2 linked regions of the Caenorhabditis elegans genome follow. The protein of the gene in region 2 interacts with the protein of the main gene of each other region in a pairwise test. Each region holds a gene or a part of one and is shown on either strand. Other genes may lie near its edges.

The links. Proteins that work in one complex are often made in the same cells at the same time.
Region 1: the proteins of T07D4.2 (region 2) and col-159 interact in a two-hybrid assay, tested with the Caenorhabditis elegans proteins (one large-scale study listed by BioGRID).

Annotation. Positions count from the first base shown.
Region 1 is NC_003283.11:13,197,725-13,204,171, forward strand, and holds col-159 (Nematode cuticle collagen N-terminal domain-containing protein), read right to left. Parts: upstream 4,454-6,447; 5' UTR 4,433-4,453; intron 4,376-4,432; coding exon of another isoform or gene 4,160-4,375; intron 4,112-4,159; coding exon of another isoform or gene 3,374-4,111; exon of another isoform or gene 3,260-3,373; intron 1,823-3,259; exon of another isoform or gene 1,674-1,822; intron 1,592-1,673; coding exon 1,376-1,591; intron 1,328-1,375; coding exon 602-1,327; 3' UTR 507-601; downstream 1-506. Other genes in the region: F57B1.9 (G-protein coupled receptors family 1 profile domain-containing protein), read right to left, coding at 1-51, 98-199; col-160 (Nematode cuticle collagen N-terminal domain-containing protein), read right to left, coding at 3,374-4,111, 4,160-4,375.
Region 2 is NC_003280.10:8,869,016-8,875,931, reverse strand, and holds T07D4.2 (UPF0046 protein T07D4.2), read left to right. Parts: upstream 1-1,989; 5' UTR 1,990-1,991; coding exon 1,992-2,032; intron 2,033-2,098; coding exon 2,099-2,126; intron 2,127-2,533; coding exon 2,534-2,624; intron 2,625-2,860; coding exon 2,861-2,985; intron 2,986-3,977; exon of another isoform or gene 3,978-3,984; coding exon of another isoform or gene 3,985-4,149; intron 4,150-4,661; coding exon 4,662-4,998; intron 4,999-5,053; coding exon 5,054-5,142; intron 5,143-5,185; coding exon 5,186-5,262; intron 5,263-5,466; coding exon 5,467-5,582; intron 5,583-5,627; coding exon 5,628-5,812; intron 5,813-5,944; coding exon 5,945-6,046; 3' UTR 6,047-6,383; downstream 6,384-6,916.

The sequences.
Region 1 (6,447 bases), on a different chromosome or scaffold from region 2:
AATAAAATAATACAAAAAATTCTTATCTTCAGGAGGAATCTCTGCATCGACCTGAAGTTTACTAGTTATACCTATTTTCCAATAAATAAAAAATTACCTCTTCAAGCGGTGAACTTTTAGGAGGTGAAACTCCATCAGAAGATTGCAGATGAGCATTTGCTAATATTCCAAAAACAAACAAAAGAACAATCGAAAGCATTTCAAAAGATTAATCGATTAAAAAGTGAGTTCAGTAAGTATTAGAAAACTAACTAAAAGTTGATTTCGTGAGAGATGAAAAAGCAGCTGGAAATCAACATTTTCGCGCCTGAGCACGTTATTGCCTTTTATAATGATTAAAATGAGAATGTCTTGACGTTTTTTCTACGAACAAATGTCAATAATACAACTTTAGTTTCGTGTTTAGTGTAATCTGCATCATAATTTTTTTTGGAACGCTTGATCCAATGACGTTCATTACACTTTCGTTGACTTTGTGTTACGATTGTATTGTTTTTATGTTCAAATTGCAGATTGTCATGTTCATTCTAATCTATCAGGATGACTTTGCAAAAATGGATAAAGCAAGATGTTGGAAATAAAAAAAACAAAAAAAAAACATTTAATATCCTGGGGCGGTACGTGGTGGTGGGCAGTGATCGCAAGCTCCCTCGGATCCGCTGTCTCCGTCTTGTCCTGGGGCTCCAGCTTGTCCTGGTTGTCCTGGGGCTCCTGGAGCTCCGGCATCTCCTTGTGGTCCTGGACCTCCTGGTTGACCGGATCCAGATTGTCCTGGCTGTCCTGGGGCTCCGGCTGGTCCTGGTGGTCCTGGTGGTCCAGCTGGTCCTGGGGTGCCTGGAACATCGACGACTTGTCCTGGGGCTCCTGGGGCTCCGGCGTTTCCGTTGGATCCTGGTTGTCCAGATGGTCCTGGTGGTCCGGCTGGTCCTGGTGGTCCTGGAAGGGAAGCTCCTCCGGTTTGTCCTGGGACTCCTGGGGCTCCTGAAGGTCCCTTTTGTCCTGGGGCTCCTGATGGCCCTGGTGGTCCAGCTGGGCAGTCGAAGCAGAAGCTGTCTGGTCCAGCGGTTTGGTCCTCAGAGGCATCTTGTCCTGGGTTTCCTGGAGCTCCTGGGGCTCCGTCGTTTCCTGGGGCTCCATCTTGTCCTGGGGATCCAGCTGGTCCAGCAGCTCCGGTTCCGCATGAGCAGCATGATCCTCCGGCGGATCCTCCGAATCCTCCGACTGCGGCGTCAGCTCCGTAAGATTGTCTGCGGACCTTGGAGGCTCTGGCTTTGCGGTGGTAAGACTCGCGCTTGATGCGTCCAGCAACTCCGCTAACTCCCTCGAACTGAAATTAGAAAAGTTAGGATTCAATTTCATAGTAATATCAACTCACTCTTTGGTACTCATCCCAGAGTCCGTTTGATCTGTGGGCACAGAATTCGACCTCGGATTGAAGGGAAGATTGAACGTGTTGCATGTAGTTGTAAAGCATTGGAACGGCAACAATAGCGGTCAAAGTGGCAATGGTCGAGACTGCGATTCCGAAGAATGCAACCTTGCGGAGAGACTCAGTCTCATAAGCGATTTGTTTTGGATCCTCAGACGACATCTTAAAATTTAAGATCTTGTGTGTTTAAAGAAATCGCTTAAAACTTACAATTTCTGAATAGACTGGACCGGGAAGTCAAGTGTCTTAAAGCGTACGCTGTCCGTATTTATACCCATTGTGGTGTAATACCTTTGCTTGTGTAGAGTGGGACGGATGTGAAAATCTAGAAGGTCGTTCGTCTTTAGCTATTTTCTTCATTATCGTTTCATTTCCTGGTTTATTACTAGCTCGTGCCGAAGATTGTTCATTGCGGGGTCGTTTTTTTAACCAGACGTCAATGCCATTTTATGTGTTGATTATAAATTGATACTTGAAAACTAAAAAATAAAGTAAACTAAACGTCATTGAGTGTAAAAACGGAAAAAATAGAAAACATCTGCCGGAAATGTACATAGTAGTTCAGAATGTTTGCTTTGGAGCTCTAACAAATTTTAATTTTCAAAATAATGGAAATGCTAAAATGTCTACTTCAGGAAGAGTCGACCCTCATCCACATGAAAACGCTGCAAAACTTTTATAAGGATCCAGTTTACATATGAAAAACTGATAATGATTATGTGCCATTTTCATTAATAGTTTAAACACACATTGAAAAAAAAAACTCTACCTATGAATAATGTGATTCTAAAACGTTTATACCAAATCAAAAGGGTATTACTGGAAAATATATACGAGTAAAAAACAAGTTTGCATCGATGGTTAGTATGGTTTGTTGAAATAGTTACTCGATTTGAGAAACATTAGAAAAAGAAACATTTCCACTCATACATTTTCTCTGCAATTTTCAGAGAATTAGATCTGCTCCTTTTATTGCTGCAGAAAAATTTAACGAAAAAAAAATTTCTGCAGAAAAAAAAAAGCGAATCAAACTGTTAAAATTAATGTAGCATTCCAAAACTTTTTGAGGATATTACTTTAGTTCAATAAATCTGTTTTGTCTCTACTCTCGGTAGAATCCAGAGTCACCACTTCAACAACTGACAAAGATCCTTGTGAAAAAACTGGACATTTCTTTTACCGAATCGTTTAGAATTATGTTGCTGCCGATGTGTCTAAATTCCCGTTTAAGATAAGTTTGCATTGAAGTAATGAAAGTTGAGACTTGTTTATATCAGAAAATGAAGAAAATTGCAATTTTGATAAGATATGAGATTTGCCTTCGTTATCTCTTTTCTAGAGATGGCGGATATAATGAAAACACAAACTTTAGAAATATCCGGTGACAATTTGAAGTTCGTGTAGAAGATTCACCAGATCAGATATCTTGGCAAATTTCACATACGCAAAAGATTTTAGAGTCTTTTCCCAGTAACCCTGTAAATTGTATAGAGGCAAATGTACGAGAATCTCAAGAATCAAAGCTAATACGGTCTCGTTAAAACGATTACATGTTTTACCTTTGAAAAACTTTTTGTTATGTTCTCGAAACCTTCGAATCACTTGTCAAACAATATTAAACTTCCTGTTTACTGCTTAGAAGGGGTTTCCGTTGTCCAATTACCGAAAACAATAAAAGGGCAACACTGTAAGTAGACCACTTGGATCTTGATGACCTTGAATGAAAGTTTCTCCTTAATGCGAAGAACAACAGACTCTCGAGTGTGTACGGAAACACCTTATTGTAACTTTTTTCAGCCGTTGGTTTTTTGTTAACATAAGACAAAAATTGGATGATGCAGTTTTTATTTCTACAGGGTGCTAGTGTTCACAATTGGATTTGTGAAGAAATAAAGCAAGATAATGGAAGTGAGAGAAATGATGTCATAATCAATTCGGATACATTTAATATCCTGGGGCGGTACGTGGTGGTGGGCAGTGATCGCAAGCTCCCTCGGATCCGCTGTCTCCGTCTTGTCCTGGGGCTCCAGCTTGTCCTGGTTGTCCTGGGGCTCCTGGAGCTCCGGCATCTCCTTGTGGTCCTGGGCCTCCTGGTTGAGCGGATCCAGATTGTCCTGGCTGTCCTGGGGCTCCGGCTGGTCCTGGTGGTCCTGGTGGTCCAGCTGGTCCTGGGGTTCCTGGAACATCGACGACTTGTCCTGGGGCTCCTGGGGCTCCGGCGTTTCCGTTGGATCCTGGTTGTCCAGATGGTCCTGGTGGTCCGGCTGGTCCTGGTGGTCCTGGAAGGGAAGCTCCTCCGGATTGTCCTGGGGCTCCTGGGGCTCCTGAAGGTCCCTTTTGTCCTGGGGCTCCTGATGGTCCTGGTGGTCCAGCTGGGCAGTCGAAGCAGAAGCTGTCTGGTCCAGCGGTTTGGTCCTCAGAGGCATCTTGTCCTGGGTTTCCTGGGGCTCCTGGGGCTCCGTCGTTTCCTGGAGCTCCGTCTTGTCCTGGGGATCCAGCTGGTCCAGCAGCTCCGGTTCCGCATGAGCAGCATGATCCTCCGGCGGATCCTCCAAATCCTCCGACAGCGGCGTCAGCTCCGTAAGATTGTCTGCGGACCTTGGAAGCTCTGTGTGGTCCAGAGGCTCTGCGGTGGTAAGATTCACGCTTGATGCGTCCAGCAACTCCGCTGACTCCCTCGAACTGAAAATAGGAAAGTTTGGATTCAATTTCATAGTAATATTAGCTCACTCTTTGGTACTCATCCCAGAGTCCGTTTGATCTGTGGGCACAGAATTCGACCTCGGATTGAAGGGAAGATTGAACGTGTTGCATGTAGTTGTAGAGCATTGGAACGGCAACAATAGCGGTCAACGTAGCAATGGTTGAGACTGCAATTCCGAAGAATGCAACCTTGCGGAGAGACTCAGTCTCATAAGCTATTTGTTTTGGATCCTCAGACGACATCTAAAAAAGGAGAAATTTCAGAAGATTCAAAGAAAAAAGGTTTGAAGTAAAACTTACAATGACTAAATGGACAGGACCGAGTAGTCAAGTGATTTGACCATTGTCGAGTCATCCCTTTTATACTTGCCAAGGTGTAATACTCTGATAGCACGTAGTACGGTAACGCAGATGCCAAAAACTCAAACCAGGAACCGTTTGGCTTCTCTCCTCCCTCTACTGCTTTGTCTATTACTCCTGTGTGTTCTGCCATTAGGGGTTTCTCTGTCAAATTGACCTCGAAATACAAAAAAAGAGAGAAGTAAATGATATTTATGATAGTAGATAGGTAGAGACAGCAAAAAACCGTTTGGAAAAGTGATAAAAAAGTAAGAAGGGATAGATGAGAAGCGACGGGTGAAAATTGGAAAAAGATGAAAAGAAAGCAGGGGAACAAGGCAGAAAGAGGAAGTGTTTTTCGATTTTCTCGTGTTATATCGATGAATGATAGCAAGTTGTAAAAAGTAATCTGATGTAAAACGGAACTATTTACTGAAAACCTTGCAGACGGTTATCGGGATATTTTCGTCAGTAAACAAAAATCTGTTCAAATGTTCATCTTATCTGACGTATTCGAGAATTTTTGCAAATCCAAATTGAATGGCAGATAAGACAACGGAATGTATGAAGAGACATCATTAATCGGGGATCAGTTTTTTCGATTACAGTTATTTTTTTTCCTGAAAAAAATCTGAAAATGTAAATGGCGGTCTGTGAAAAAGACAACAACTCGGATTAAATTTTCAGAAATGCAGTAGACCAATAAAGTGACATCTATCGAGACAAGGATCAGAAAATGGGTTAAACTTCAGATAGTTGGCATAAAATGAAAAGTTGAATAAGGTTGTTAGCCAAACTTTTTCATTTAACATTTATAATTAATAACAATACGAACCAAAATGGTTCTCATTCGATTGTTTAATTTGATCAACAGTAATTCTTTTTTCTATGTTTTTAGTTGACTGCAAAGAATTGTTCATTCTTTGTGCGTTTTTATTTATTTTTTAGAAACAATAATTCGCTTTAAAAAAACCCACTGTGAACATACACACAAAGTATATTTTGGATTTTTGCTCTAACACATATCCCAAAACAATTTTTTGTTGAATAATATCTGAATGCTTTTTTATTCAAATAAAAAAATTTTGCAATAAGTTTCGACAGTAAGAATTTTTAAAACAAAACTTCGTAAATTTTAAATTGTTTTTCTACAAAAAAAAACTGTAAGATTATAACAATTTGAAAAAAGTAAATAAATTCTTTTGATAACTAACCAAAATATTTCCCACATTTTTCGTTTTAGATACTTTTTTGATATTTTCAAAAATATATATACTGCCCCTAAAGTTATAAGAAGAGGTGCACCAAAATTTATGTCTGTAAATGTTAGTAATTTTTCTCACAAAAAATATGAGAATTATGTATATAGAATTTCTACCTACCTTTTAGTTTCACATTTGAAATTCAATAAAGAATATTCTATGACTTAAAAACAAAACAAAACCTCGTAAAATATTCAGCCTCCTAAAAAAAGACAACTCTACGCAAAAATTTATTGAAGTCTGTCAACATCGAAGAGGTCCCAAAGGTCGAAAAGCAACAACTTCAGTGTCAAAGTTTTCAATTCTCTCCAGCAATTCGGTTTTTTGTGCTTTTTATTGTCTGCTCTTCACTGTTTCTTTTTTATCATTCCTTTTTTGTTCATCGATCAATCGAATTTTGTCTCATAATCGGTGTGAATGAAGCACTGCTGCTTTTCTTTTTCTCTCTTTTTAAAAAGCAAATTCATTGTTCGCAAAACCATTATTTCTGTCGTGCTACGCAAATAATAAACCGAGTTCCGATGAAGCATTCACACATTCCCTAGTTGTCATGAATTTCCAAAGAAATGTCTTCTATGAATCGTTGAATTGTTGAAATTTTTTAACAGCTGACAATTTAGTTTTGGGCTAATTGATTAGTACTTTGAACATTTTATAAAAATTACTTGAAAAACTCGTGTAAAAGTTGGAAATGTAGAATTCTATATGTACTCT
Region 2 (6,916 bases):
CTTACGTGCCTACAAAGTGTACCTCGCCTTTATAATAACCGAAGACTTATTTGTCGTAGAGAAGATTTATTTGAGCGGAGCCACATTGCACCGGATGCCTTTTTCGTGGAAGGCATACAGTTTTGGCATTTGGGTGCAACTTTCTGACAATTTTTGCCCCTGAGAAACGTGCGCAATCTACTTCCTTCTAAAAACTAACCAAATTGTTTTAACAGCTTTCATGAAGTTTCCCCTAAATGCTATCCCTTTTATCTGAAATTCATAATTGGCTCAGCTTTACCAGCTTTCCAAATATTTCTGGCTTTGACGCACTTTAAATATATTATTTCATTAAATCCTAAATATAAAGTTCACTAGTTTTGTCAAGAACACATCCAAACAACTCGGTTCCTGTGTACTATTGCATCTTGTGACCTACAAACTAGTCAAGGATCTTTGAATTTTTACCATAAGTACCCTTCAATAATATCTCCCAGCTCCACCAATTCAATCAAGTTCAAGATTTCAAATTGATTGATGTCGACAAATTAATTGAGAGTACAACTCGATCCGCCCTCATCAAATCCTAATCCATCACTCGTAATACATCGACCTTCTTCATCAGATCTTCCCTGTTTTTTGTGCACCACTCATCATTATTATCTCTTTCCACCAGACTCTTCTCTTTCAGTCGACTCTTCGGCTCAACTTTGATCCCTTATTGTGACCCGTTGTGGGGTGTTAAAAAAGTTTATTGATGAGTTATGACAAGTCTTTGTGGTGAGACTGAGAACGATGAGGTGGGGGAGGAAGGTATGAAGGTGGAGCCATTGTGTGCACAAAGTGGTTGCTACTGGTGGTGAGTAAATCAACACCTGATGAGCTGTTCAAAAAACAGAAGCAGAAGAAGAACCAGTCACTTTACTCTTTGCAATGTTTTCAGCTTTGCTTTCTTATTTCTATGATACTAGTATTACGTTAGTTTCGCATTATATTTTTTCAGAATTTTAGCTTGAATTTGTTCACTTATAATTCGCATATCACTACATATAACTTGAAATAGAAATGGAAATAGTTAATAAGATAATGATGGAAAGATCAATTGAATGACTAAAAATAAAACAATTAGAACTTCTGAATGAGTTTAGAGGTAGATTATTGGCTACTGGACCTTCGTAACAGTATCTATTTGTAAATACTTATAGTAGTTTTTGTAATTAGTCTTTACTTATACTAGGGCAATACAAAAATATATTCTGAATCGCTACAGTTTGGATGAAATCTCAATAAAAACTAGGCTCCAATTTTTAACCTTTTCCAAGTGTTCAGAAACTTTATTTCTACAGTTTAGAGTTTACTTATATTTTCCTATTCCACTGCATTAATTTTCTCATAATAGAACATGTGAGTAGATAATTTCTATGTGATTTATGTGATACGTTTGGCATATGTTGTACTTTTTCTCAGTTGCACACTTATCAGCTTGTGACCTGGTGGCACTCAACCCTTGCCGTCTCTCGAGATACATTGTACCGCAATAAAGATTTGAAAAACAATACGACATTAGCAAGAGCTGGTCCAAACTTGTGCAAGGTATGAGTGGCGTTTCTATTGAGAAAACACGGTCTACTGTATTTTAAATATCTTGATAAATGTTATTTGCTCTGTTAGTATAAACTTTACCAATTATGTCATTGCCAACAGCTATATTCAACTACGTCACGAATCCTATGTCTCACTTCTTTGCAACAAAAACCCTTGATCTTTTTAATCACATCTTTAAATGAGAGTTGATCTCATTAAACTACTCATTTGCTCAAGAAAATTCTGCACTCAATGCTGAATTGCTTTGTCCGTGTTTAAGTACCTAATTCCATGATCCAGACACATCTTATCTCATTCCGAACATTCCCGAACTTTCGTGTCATCCTTCACTTCACTTTGTCACTTCTCAAAAAGTTGTCGTTTCTTCTTGCTTGTCGACCCAAAAAATCATCGAGATTTTTGCAGGAATGCTGAGTCCTGCATTGCTCAAAGTGTCACTCAATCGAAGGTTCGTCAATGATTTTTTGTAGCTGCACTCATTGTTTGTTTTATGTTTCAATCTTTGTGTTTTCAGAAGCTCCGCTCCTGTACCACAAGATGAGGTGAGCCAATTGGTATTGAAGAAGGATAGAACTCTGATCAAATGGAAAAAAGAGGAAGAAGGGGAGGGGGTTAAGATGGATAAGATGGAAATGCTGGAGGGAAGAAGAAGATGGAAGGTTTCATTGGCGGGTACCTTTGAGAACCATTCCCGTGCTTTGGTCACTTGTCCTGATTTTTTCTTCACTACAACCTGATTTTATGGAGCTATATTCTCAAACAGAAGTTGATAGATAAAGTGTATCACCATTCCGTTTAAAAACTGTATTTGTAAAAGATTTATGTCTCAGTTCCTTAACATTTTTGGTAGTAGTCCTCGAACCTCGAAGCTACAAATAATAATTTGCTCTATTTATATGATACTTCCACTTCAAAACATTCATATTTTAACATAATATATTTATTTCAGAAAATGATGTTCCATTCGCGAAACCGGGCTGCATCATATTTGCAGCCGATGATAGAAGATCAGGAATTGATTGGATTCAACAGAGATAGAAGTGAGTTCATAATTTCTTTTTGCCTCTCTCCCGATTCTCGTAAAAAATGAGAATAAACAGCAAAATGTGTAGTAAAGGTTGAATAACGTGTGAATACCACGATGGCAGCTTCAATGTTCTTCTTTTAAAATAAGTTATTAACTTTATAAAAAAAACCAGAGAACAATTCAGATTGATTCTCAGAAAAAAAAGAATACTTCCGTCTATTTCTAAGTTGTCATAACTATCTTTATCAGGAAGAAGTTCCGGCTCAATAATCGTCGACAGTTTTGAACTCGGAAATGCTTCGCCAAGTCGCCGCGGTTCAATTGCATCTGGCATTCCAATGGACAAAAAAACCCGACGGAAGCTGTCAAATCCGGTAGGTTTTCTATGTTGTTAGCTCCCATCAACAATTGGAAAAACAAAATGAAAGATAAAATGATAAATGCGTTCGAGCATGATACCAATCTGATGAAAAGAAGAAACAATCTATCTCATATTGAGTCGGCATACCAACTGACGTTGGAGTCTCTACTTTTTTGATTTAAACGAAAAAAAGAAAGAAAAGATATCTGAGAGCCGATGATGGTCGTCTTTGATTCACTATTCATCAGATGATCCACTGACGAACATTTTCTCACCTTTCCCTGAGATGTGCCAGCCTATCAGTTTCATTTTTACCGAGTTACCGACCTTTTTTTTTCGTAATTTTTAGTTGCTTTTCGGGGATTTTTTTGACTACGAAATTTTCTCAGTAATTTTTTATTTTTCTTCCTTTGAAGAAAACATTTTGCTCGATTTCCATTGTTGCTCGAGGTTATTCACAGTTTTCTGAATGTGAAAAATTATGAGAAAACGCGGCTCCCATTCTTTCAGACTTTCTCTCAAACCTTCAGTATTTTGAAACATTTCAAAAACTCGCAGAGCATTCGTATTATGGTAACTTGTCCAGGCGACCGGCAGTTAGTTTCATATTCGTCCAATCTTTCCAATCTAGTTTCAGCCGAAAACCACTGCTTTCCCAAGTATACATATATTTAAAAAATAAGAAAAGAGAACTAACTATTAACAGAAAAAGAACGGGTAACTGAATATCCTTCTGCATTTAGTTTGATGTATCCTTCAAAAAGATAAGGAACAAAAAGTGACCAGCACATACATATATCGGATGTCTCGTTTGCAACTTTTGGCCTCCCATCCCATTTCCTGTCACCTCGTGACCTCATCGTTAGATCGAAAACCATTTGAGTGCAGTCAATGTTTTTGACACACTTCAGATACTCGCCATAAATCTTTTGAATCTTACTTCTCCATTCAATCTTTTCGGCTCTATTTCTTCATTTGTTTCTTTCTTATCAATTGTTCACACAGCCTGAAAATGTTCTCCAAGTCGAGCAATCGGTTCGGAACAACTTCTATATTTGGGGATCAGTCTATTAAAGATGAATACCGTAACCGACAGAGACGTCTTTCTCTGATTGGTGGACCTATAAGTGGAACATCTCCAAATCGACGAGAATCACTTGTTCGAGAGTTAAGAACTGTAAGTTCAAAGAGTCTTTAGTCGCCAGCTGTTGTCAGTTCAAGCTTGTTAACAACAAATTACATGGGGGGCCAACATTTGTCAAAAAATTGCTTCCATTTTGTTATTAGTACGAACAGAAATTGAAAAAAAGAAGTAAAAAACTTGAGTCTCAATTTCCTGATTTATTTAGTTCTACCACTAATACTTCAATGTATTTCCTAAGGATACACAGAAAATCTCAAGATTCTATAAAAAGTTGGTATTCAGAGACTAAAATTCATAAAAGACCGGTACGTTTTTTGCATGCCGTTTGGCCCAGTTTGTGTTTTAAACCCTATGTATAGCAATGTTTATTTTTAATGCTATATTTTCACAGTATAATAATTTGAAAATTTTAATTGTATTGTTATATCCGGTCAAAGGTTGACAACAGCCACACAAGCCATGTGTTTAATGTCGTTAACAACAAGATGAATGGGAAATTAATTGCTCCGCAAGCTTCTCCTTCAGAACAATACATTTATTTTCAGGTATCTCTTCATCAATACACAGAAGATCCAACACTTGCATGGGAAATGCTGAAAGAAAAAAGACCAGTGAAACCAGTTCGTCAGATGAGACTTGATACTCCAGTAAAACCAGATCATGTGAGATTTGTATGTATTGGATGTACACATGGAGAACAATTTGATATATCAAAACTCCCACCTGGAGATGTTCTCCTCGTGGCTGGAGACTTCACATCATGCGGTCTTCCAAATGAAGTTCACAATTTTAATAAGTTACTTGGAAAACTGAAATACTCTTACAAAGTGGTGATAGGTGGAAATCACGAATGCACATTTGACGACACATTTTTGAAATTGAGTAAGTTCAACTCCAATAAACCATTAACGATCAATCACCACAACAAAATTTGCAGAACAAGAGTCTGAACCAAAAGAAATGGCACTGAAACAAGCATTGTTATCAGCAATTCATTCTGATTCAAAGGGTGGAATTTCAGCGAAAGTAAGCATGATTTCAATTTATGAAAGTATACAATTTTTTGTAGGATTTGTTATCAAATGCAATTTATTTGGAGGATAATGTAATCGAACTGTTTGGAATCACAATTTATGGAACGCCATGGTAAGGATTGCAAGTTTTCTGAAAAAATTGTGGTAGATTCAAGTCGAAATTTGAAACAATTGTCACCTTCGACAAGTATTATCATTATATATTTTGTAGATCAATAAAAAATATAAGTTCGAATTGAATATTCTTTCTCACAGCATAATTCTATGAGTTCCATATTGAACCCATTGTATCAAAGCACAATTTCAAAAATTGCAGGCAACCAAAAGTAGACAATTGGGCATTCAATCTCTCTCGTGGACAACAACTATTGGACAAATGGAACCTGATCCCGGCGGGCGTTGACGTGCTTTTAACTCATACACCTCCACTTGGTAAGTTCAAAGTACCACAAATAGTAAAACACAAATTTTGTGCAGGACACGGCGATATGATGAACAATGGACAGAGAATGGGATGTGCCGAGTTGTTGAACACAGTTTTCAAGCGGGTTCGACCAAAGTATCACGTTTTTGGACACATTCATGAGGGCTACGGATGCACAACTGATGGATATACAAAGTTCATTAACTGCTGCATGTGTAATGAAAATTTGGATTTAAAGGTGATCATTCGTGAATTTTGACTTATTGAGAAAAATTGGGCATGACTCTGGGACGACTTTATTCAAGCAGCACACAAATTTAGACTATCCATGATTATTAAATTTGACAATTTCATCGTTAAAAATTTTCAGAACGAGCCAGTAATATTCGATATCCCAGTGCACCCTCACACCAAACAATTCTACATTCAAAATGTGAAGAAAATTCATAAAAGATTCCAAAAGAAGAAATAAATTAAATTCCTCTCACTGTCACCTCTGTGTCATTTTGTAGTTATAATTATACCACCACTTTTTAATTTTTTTTGCTCTTTTTCCACACCACGACCATCATCATCTATTTTTCTCACTCATTGAGCCCTCCTCCAACCCCATAAGAACAAAATAATATCCCATCCGGAAATGAGTCTTTATGAACTCGATGCGCAGTCAACAGCACCACAAAAAGAGCAAGAGAAGGTTGATTGTGCTTCTGCTGCGACAGCTTCTGCAACTGCTTCTTCTCGTCTTCCAATTCTTCTTCTTTCACCAAAATTGCTCCCGCTAACCAGCAATAAAACATTCCAATTTGTGAGCCTCTTTCGAGTCAAACATTATGAAATTCAATACCAAATTATGCTGCAACCTCCTCTTTTGCCCTCTGAAATCAGATATTGGCCATGTGTGGTGCGGTTCCGGCAGTGCCGGCTTCTTGCTCCACACAGACAAATCTCTTTTGTTATTCATCGATGTCTTTTCTCAGAGATATCATCAACATTAGACTTTTTTCGATTTTACTGAAATTCATTATTTCTAGACCAGAAATATCTGAAACAGGGTGAAATCTAGTCAGAATGATTTCCACCCAGAGTTGTTTCATATAGTCTGTAATTTTTTAGATACAATATTTTTCTTACGTCAGACAGTATCCACCGTGTCAGTTGAGAATACACATAGGTTTTAGTTTTAAATCACCACAAAAGCTAACAAGCGCCACATTCAGTTGCACGTAGAAATTAATCTCTGACCTAGAATATATGATAGAATAGAAAAAGGAACCAATCCATTAGGAATAATGAAAATTCTTTGGCAATTTTTTCCGAAATGAATCACAAATGAGAAATG